Linked DNA regions of Drosophila melanogaster. The protein of the gene in region 2 interacts with the protein of the main gene of each other region in a pairwise test. Each region holds a gene or a part of one and is shown on either strand. Other genes may lie near its edges.

Region 1 (5,167 bases), on a different chromosome or scaffold from region 2:
CTAAATGAAAAGTGAAATGCCAGCAGCGGTTGGTAATTTCAAATGCTGAACAAAAGAATTATGCCATTTGCTATGGAACGACTAGCTCATGAAAAGAAACCACATACACATCGACTGCGTTTCTAGTGTAATCAAATAAGAAGTGCGTCTCGCTGGCCGCTGCTTTCATTTCTGCTTACCAAAAACGGAGCTCGGTGAAATTTTCTGTGTATATTTGGCTTTTTTTTATTTTTTTTTATTTTGTCTTGTGTCCACTTAGCTGCGGGCTGCCAAGGCCCATCGGCTTGGCGCTTCTGGCCACATGTCCCCATCTGGCTGTCCAGCTAAGCCCAGCTCATTAGCTCAAAACGAAAGACTTAGGGCACAAACTCGATGGGCAGGCGTGCGCATCGCCTGCCGCTGAGGGCCGCCTAATTGTTTCAGCAGCTGCCATTGCAGGTTCAATACAACCATCAACGGCAATTTCTCAATTGCAAATGCCGAATGCAAATTACAATAATTACGGCGAGCCATTTTGCGCTACTCTACGCAGGCAGCCTCATCCTATCACCCCATCATCAACTTCTCCTGACAGGCGATCTGCCCGGCAAACCTGTATAAACCAGAGCGGCCCCAGAACGTGAAATGCAAATAACGCAACAGGCTTCCTACTGCCTACAGATCATCTGTGGCCGCAAGACAAACGTGCTCCACCCCTCCAATGCCCCCCACCGCCCTCCCAGCTGTCGAGTGCGTTTTAGACCAAAGACAGGCGGACTGGCAGGCCTCCAACAATAAGGAAGAGCCGTGTGTGGTTGTCGCAGGGGGGTCGACCCTATGGTACTTATCACAAAATATATAAAATCTAACATAGAGTAACCTGAATGAACATAAAAACTGCATCACTTGTATTTGGTCAATCTCAGCTTGTATGATACTTTTAACTGAATAAAACTATCCCTTATATAATTAACTCCCAGTCCATCTAACCCCTGTTACCCACGACTTGCCATTGGCATAACCACAATCAGACCAGTTCTTTAAACCGAAAAGCAAAAATCGTTTGCCGAGGAGCCAAAGGAAGCTGGAGCAAGCAAAGTTCTGCTTAAGATTGCCTTTTCTCGGTCGCTGAGGGAAAAGCAGAAGCAGTCGGCAGTGGCAGCGCAATTGAAACACTTGTACTAAGCTGCTGTTGCTCCTGCTGTTGGTGGTGGTGGTGGTGCTGGTGCCCCAACTCTTGTGGCACGCCGCTTTGGCTCGCTTGCATTTTACAGGAATTTCAATAAATTTACAGAGGAGGGAGCGACTTTTGCTTTGGACTCGTTTCGAGCTTTGGCCGTGTTTGCGGCGCTTGAACTGGCTGCTCTTGTTTTGCAGCCTCTGCTGGTGCAGTTAGTTGCAGTTATGCGCATCTATCGGCTGCTCGGTATCTGTATCTGAATCTGTATCTGTATCTTAGCACATGCATCTGAGTCTGTTGCTGTTTCTGTTTCTGTGACCGCAGTGAGTTGGCGCTTAATTGACTTGTACGCGGTAGAAAGTGCACAAGCACTTTGGGCACAACCACTGGCACAGGGGAAAAAAGAGCCGGCGTATCTGGCGGATGCGTATCTGAGTCTCGGATCTTTTGCATTTACTTGCGTTGGCTGCCAGTTGACGTCGAGCTTCGGTTCACTGCTGCCAGCTATTTTGGGTCATTTCATTTAATTCGCTGTTACCATATGAGTGTGATTATAACTCTTACGTTTGTGGCTCGTTCGTTTTATGAGTTTCTTCACTTTTGACACTGGCTCTCGGCCTTTTTCCGCAGTTCTACCTTTCGCTTCTTTCAAAAAAAGATCACACAAAGCACTGTTAGCCGCCTGGGAAAATTTGTTTCCCGAGATTCGTTTCCTTTCCCGGTTGGGATTTCGTTGCTTTGGTTTTGGCTTGTATTCTTGCACTTGAACTTGCCTCGGGACTTTGGGTCAGGCCAATTATTTCACTCACACTCGCACACACACACGCACACTCGCTAAGTCCCCGAGTACAGACGCACTCGCACACACACACACAGTCGCGGAAGACGGAAGACGAGCAGAAGACCAAGTTAAGAGCGCGACAAGTTGCGCACGTCTGCGGTGTGGAGCTCACACAAAAGATCCACAAACCAGGTGAAGCCACTGCCTCTGCCACTGGCACTGCTGCCGTCGCTGCCGCTGCCCGCTGCGACTGAGATTTGGCCACGCCGGCAGAGCTGAAGAACTTGGTAAGACGAAATTGGTAAGTTAGCTGATTCTCTCTCTCTCGCTCGCACGCTCATTCCGGCTCAAAGTTAAAGTCAAAGCCAAAACCAAAACCAAAACCAAACCACCAACATGTGCGCATGCGTGCAGTCGGCGTCGACTGCGCTACGCGCATAACGGTTTTCATTAAGGCCAACACCGAGAACGGCCAAAAGCTAGGCGCTGTTTCTGTTTCTGTTTCTTATTCAAATGAACCTCTCTCTCTTTTGGCCACCTCTCTCTTTTTGAGGCGGCTCACAGCTGATTGGCGGCACAAGGTGTTTGGCGGGGGGTGGTGGCGGTTGTGGCGGGGGGAGTTTGGGGTTAACAGCGCTTTCACATTAAAATAGCAAGAAGCAGAAGACAGCACAAACACACACACGCACACATGCACACATCGTGGCTTTTTCTTTTAATATATATATTTTGTGTTGCAAATGAGTGTGTTTTTGCTGCTGCTCGCCATTCTTTGTCACCTGTGCGAGTGTGAGAGTGTGTGAGTGTGGGGGGCCACCGTTTGTTTGTCTTTTAATTTATGCACGTCGTCAGGTTAAGAAAGTCAATCTTTATTATGCTGCGGCTCTCACAGGCAAACCAGTTGGCTGATAAGAATTGCATGGTGACTTCCTTGGCTTTTAAGTACGTTTTCCGAGAAACGTATGGGAAGAAACTTCTAAGGAGCAGCACTTCTGGGGAAAAACACTTTGCTCATTTCAGGAAGGGAAATATTGAACTTCTGCTACAAATTAAAGCTGGCTTCTAGCTTCTTTTGTCCTTTAATCAATGCACAAATTGTAGGAATTTTTCTTTTGTTTAGGTACTGCGACCATCACACGCTCTAATCCACACATCATTAGGTCTTGTGAAAAGGCCATTTAGACTGCCAAAGAAACACATTTATACAGCACACAAGAATCGCGCCTCACAACATCTCTGTTTAATGAAGCAAGCAAAACAAAACGCACAATTAACTATCAACCACTGACTGACTTGGCGATGACGCGTGTCTTTGGCCGTTCCTTGAACTCGAGAGACCTTGACACTGGGGCTGCTCCACAGCAACTGAGGCCTGGAAAGCCAAGCGATCCCCGATTCTTTGGCCAATTGCCCGAAGAAGTGGATGCCAATGTGGATGCTAAGAGCGAGGCCTGGTGAGAGAGGAGAGCTGCTGATAAGCTCCTTTTCGATTCTTCTCCCCCTGATTATGTTATTGAGTTTTGATGCCCAGCGATGATACTGGTCATTGGTTACTGCTTGGTGGCCAGCGGAAGTCGGGCTCATTAGAAATTCAGATCATGCTCAGCATGTGGCACCTGTTGCACGGCCATGGACCCAGTTTTGGATTTCCCGCGCTATCTCAGAAGATATCTCTGTTTGATGTTCGTGCCTGTTCTGGCATTTCTGGCTAATGTTTGCTGCCTCTGTTTCTTATTTGCCCAACAAGATAAACACAGATTCCAAACCATTTCGAAATCATGTTCTTTGTGCATCATCTGTATATTGATTGAGATGCTGCCTGAAAGTATGCAGCTTGTTTTTATTTACCCAAGACGCGAACCACGTCAAATGGAAATTGCAATGTAAAAGTTAAATTCTGTTGCATGAATTTCAGCGAGTTAATGCAGGTTTTATAAAGTTTTAAAAAGTTGTAATTAAAATTATCTTTGATGTTCACATCAGACGTTTGTCAATAAAAAGCCATGGTATTTTGGTACATTTTGTTTTTATTTTTAAAACATAATTATTGGTATCAATACGATGTCAGTGAAAGTGGATCGCAAATGTAGGAATTATTCGAACAGTGTTTAATAAATATAGAAAACTTAAATAGAATGCGTGGAATGCAATGAAGTCGAATGAAGGGTGGAGGGATCGAACGGTTGGACTGATTGAGTCGAGGAACCCTAGGATGTGGAGTATGATAAAATAAATACAAGGCCCCAAGGACCTCGGTCTTACACACTAGCAACCCCGAGTCGTAGAGGAATCACATGGCCTGGCTGACGGCATGCATCTCCGCAGCGGACGCACACCTGCGCGTTGGCGCCTACGCGTTGTCATTGGCCATAACCTTGTTGATCCAGGGCACGAAACGCTGGATGTTCGTATAGACGCCGGGCAGGTGTTCCCTCCCACAGCCAATGCCCCAGGACACCAATCCGATCAGGGTCTTGCGACCGTCCATGGTCAATGTTAGTGGACCACCACTGTCGCCCTGACACGAATCCCGGCCGCCATCCTTGTAGCCTGCGCACAAGAAGACCTGGACGAAAAGAAGTTGCTCAATGTAGATCTTTTTTAAGGGAAGACCTATGCCGGTCTTAAGTCTATGCCAATGTTTACTCACATCGTGGATGGCCTCTCGGCGACCCGCTGCCCGGAACCATCGCTGACAGCGATCATTCGAGATCACCTCCACGTCCACCTCCTGCAGTACGGAGGGAACTGTGCTCTGGCCGTGTCGGGTTCGCCCCCACCCAGCCACAGTGGCCATTTTACCAGTCAATTTGGTGGTGGAAGGAGGCAGACAGACGGGTATGATGTGCTGCTTGTAGACCACATTCCTGTCCAAGCGGATCAGAGCCACGTCATTTACAAAGTCTGCCGGATTGTAATGGGGATGCACTTCCTTTCGCTCGATGCCATACTCTTCGTGGTTTAGGCGCTCCTCCTGACCACGAACATCCCACTCGCCCAATCGGATTTTCATATTGGAGTTTGGAGTGCTGCGAAGGAATCAAAGATATATAAGTATGCTTTGAAAAGATTTCCATTCAATTTTTGCTGTACTTACGAAGCCACACAATGGGCAGCCGTTATCACCCATCGATTGGAGATCAGTGCACCGCCGCAGCTGAGTTTCCTAGTGAGGAACCCACTTTTGATCAGCGCCACCTGCCAGGGATGAGAGCCAAAGCCCGTGG
Region 2 (3,276 bases):
TGTGCTCTCGCTTTTCACTGTTTGTTTCCTGTTGCGAATTTGTTTTCCACACCTTTGGGCGCCCATTAAATGTGGAGCAACACCACCCGTAGGCCAAATATCGGAGCATGAAAGTGCCGAACAATTTGTTTACGGCATCACAGTCATCACAAAAAAATGTTTTTGGTACGTAACAGCTTTGCACCATTTTGACGTCATTGCTTCATATGTCTAATTTGATTACGCAGCACTCTCGCTCAATTGGGTCAATGTCAATTAAATTGCTTAATTTAATTAAAACATACTTAAAGTAAATAGAGATACCTCCAAATTTGTTTTCACTTCTTTATGGCGAAAGAACTGACCTTCGCAATAGAATTTGCGATGCTTTTGGCCCTGACAACATGAGATGACCAAAACAATGATAAGCTTTTAGCTTAACAGTGATAAAAAGTGTTTTATTGCTGGAATTCTTAAGAAATTCTTTTTCGTCTGCTGACTTGTCTACTAACAATAAATTATGTTAGTTATATAACAAAAAGGACAGATAGAAAATTAATGGAAGAGCGAAATTAAATGTGGATTGCTTTGTGCATGATTCGTACGTTCACCATTTGGTAAATCTAGGAATTGTAAAACATTTATGCCCTAGATGAGATTCAAATAAAATCTTAATGATCAATGTTATCTACAAAGTTTCACTTTAATAGGGAAACTTCTTTTATCATTGAAACAAACTATTTATATAAGTTACAAAAATCGTGGTTTATTTAATAGTTTAGACATGAGGTAGTGAAAGCATTTTAAATTAATTCAAAAGTTCTATAGCGGACTGTCCCTATCGCATTCGACGGAATCACCCACTTCGCAGAGATCCACGCAGTATTTGCCCGATTTAATCGAGCAGATCTTGTTGTCCTTGCACTTGGTGACCTGGCCAGTTAGGTTGGTGCCATCGCACATCTGGAAGGTGGTGCGACTGGTGCAGACGAACATGCTGTTTCCATCGCAGGTGGGGCAGGATCCATCGGCAGTGCCTGAGCAGGAGCTATCCACTACACTGCTGTCCATGCAGATGATTGCCAGGTCGGTGCAGACCTTGTTATCCGGACACTGAAGGACCTGATTGGGCGCCACATTATCGGAGCAAAAGCTATAGTGCGTTTCATTCAGGCATTTCACATTGTTGGCTTGGCAACTGTTGCACACTCCTTGGACCAGAACTGCCATCGAGCTTACAACCACAATGAGGCACTAAAAATTATAAATTTGTTAAAACTTTTTCTCAAAATAAATTGCACATTGTCTTACTAGGTTTCTTAGGATTTGGGATTGCTGCATTATGCTGACTTTGAATGTGACTAACGGACTAACTGTGATATCCAACAGCTATAGGGCTTTTATAAGAACTGTCTCTAGAAAACAGAAGATAGCTTTAGCGTTTTATGCCGTAGATTAGGTATGCTAAAGATCTTAGAATATATGATACTGTTTGCCCCGTAGCGCTCCCGTGCTACTCGAAGATTGCGCTACTGGGAAGAGCAGTTTTATGGCATTCCACGGCATTGAAAGATAAATGTTATGGCCCCGAGATCATCACAGAGATATGGCCCCAACCCGGGGTTTATAAAGCTGTGCAGTTGCTCCTTAGAGATTTAATTGTAATTTCAGAATGAAAGCGTTCATGTTGATCGTACTACTGAGTGCTCTTGTGGCACCGTCAATTGTCAGTGCCGCATGTGGCCAGTGTGTGGATGCGCACAGTTGCATCGGTGAATCGGAGTTTCAGTTGTGCTACGATGGTATGTTTTAAGAACTTTCAATGATCTTCCATCATAGATCGTACTTTTAGGTGTCCGGGACCAGACTATCAACTACACTTGCCCCGAATCAAAACCCATTTGCACAACCTACGGAATTATTTGCATGCCCAACGGCACGAGTATAGAACGCGGCTGTGGTGATGTCTCCAATTGTGGTGTTTGCTCAGAATCCACAACTTTTGCCTGTACTTCAAGGACCACATTTGCTGTTTGCAACGGTGATGTTGTTTCCGCCAATAGTTTCGACTGTGCAGAAGACTTTGTCTGCAGTGTTAAAAATGCAGCCAGCGGAAGTCCTTGTATTTCCCGGTGTGACTCATCAGACTCAGATATTTGTGATCGAGTTTTGGAACCCGAAGTGGAAAGCACCACGGCATCAGTGACTCCCACTGTCACATCCACAGTCACTCCCATTGAGACTACTGCAGACCCATCCACAGTCATCACTGATTCATCGACAGGATCAACTGGGGATACCTCCACTGGATCGTCTTCCGTAACTTCGTCGGACACATCAACGGACAGCACCGTGACTGTCACTGATTCAGGAAGCACTACCCAAAGTACTGCAACAACTCCAGCATTCAATGAAGACACCTATTGCCAAGAGATCAACTCAACGGGTCGCTATCCCATACCCAATGACACAGTGTGCACTAGGTAATAACCACATCCTATTTTTATTTATTCTGAAGACAATAATCATTTTCTTTGATTTTTTCAAGCTACATCTACTGTGTTCTAAGGAGTGGAAGCTGGGCAGGATTGCTCTATAATTGCAACGTGCAGAGACCTTATTTCGATGCTGATGTCTTCAGCTGTGGTACTGTGAAGCCATCTTATGCCGGATGCACTAATTTAGTCTAAATCGATTTAATATGTCACTCTAATATATAGTACGCCATTTTATTTAGTAAACGAAATTAAAAACGGTACTTTAATGAATAGAAATATTTCCTCTCTAAAAAAAGGTAAAAAAAAACTTGTATTTCGTTCTTCCTTTTAGTATTGTATTTTGGAGCTTTATATTTATACATCCAAGGGGGACTCTCTGTCGCACTCGAATCCATTTTGAGATTTCGTTATTTCACACTGATCTACGCAAAACTTTTTCGACTTCATGGAGCAGAAAGTGTTATCCTTGCACTTCGTTACTTGGCCGATGAGCTTGCCTTCATCACACATTTGGAAGGTGGTGCGGCTAGTGCAGACGAATAGACCTGCTCCACTGCAAGGAGGACACGATATTTCGGCATCTGGAGTGCAGGAAGCTGGAGTCGATCCCTTGGGCAGGCAGATCTTCAGGAGGCTGGTGCAAACCTGGCCGTCGGGACACTGGATAACCTGATCCGACGAAACGGCGTCGAGGCAAAAACTAAAGTGGGTCTCGTTCAGGCACTTGACATGATTTGGTTGACACACATTGCATTTTATGTCCCCGAGAACATGGACTGCCATATAGGATATGATCACG

Evidence for each region.
Region 1: the proteins of CG13311 (region 2) and Np interact in a two-hybrid assay, tested with the Drosophila melanogaster proteins (one large-scale study listed by BioGRID).

What each region holds. Positions count from the first base shown.
Region 1 is NT_033778.4:9,003,281-9,008,447, forward strand, and holds the start of Np (notopleural), read right to left. Parts: upstream 3,308-5,167; 5' UTR 3,209-3,307; intron 2,097-3,208; exon of another isoform or gene 1,724-2,096; intron 1-1,723. Other genes in the region: CG8172 (uncharacterized protein), read right to left, coding at 4,291-4,506, 4,591-4,969, 5,038-5,167.
Region 2 is NT_037436.4:8,800,809-8,804,084, forward strand, and holds CG13311 (uncharacterized protein), read right to left. Parts: upstream 1,357-3,276; 5' UTR 1,321-1,356; coding exon 1,291-1,320; intron 1,234-1,290; coding exon 802-1,233; 3' UTR 732-801; downstream 1-731. Other genes in the region: CG34426 (uncharacterized protein), read left to right, coding at 1,664-1,781, 1,832-2,462, 2,528-2,669; CG32023 (uncharacterized protein), read right to left, coding at 2,832-3,276.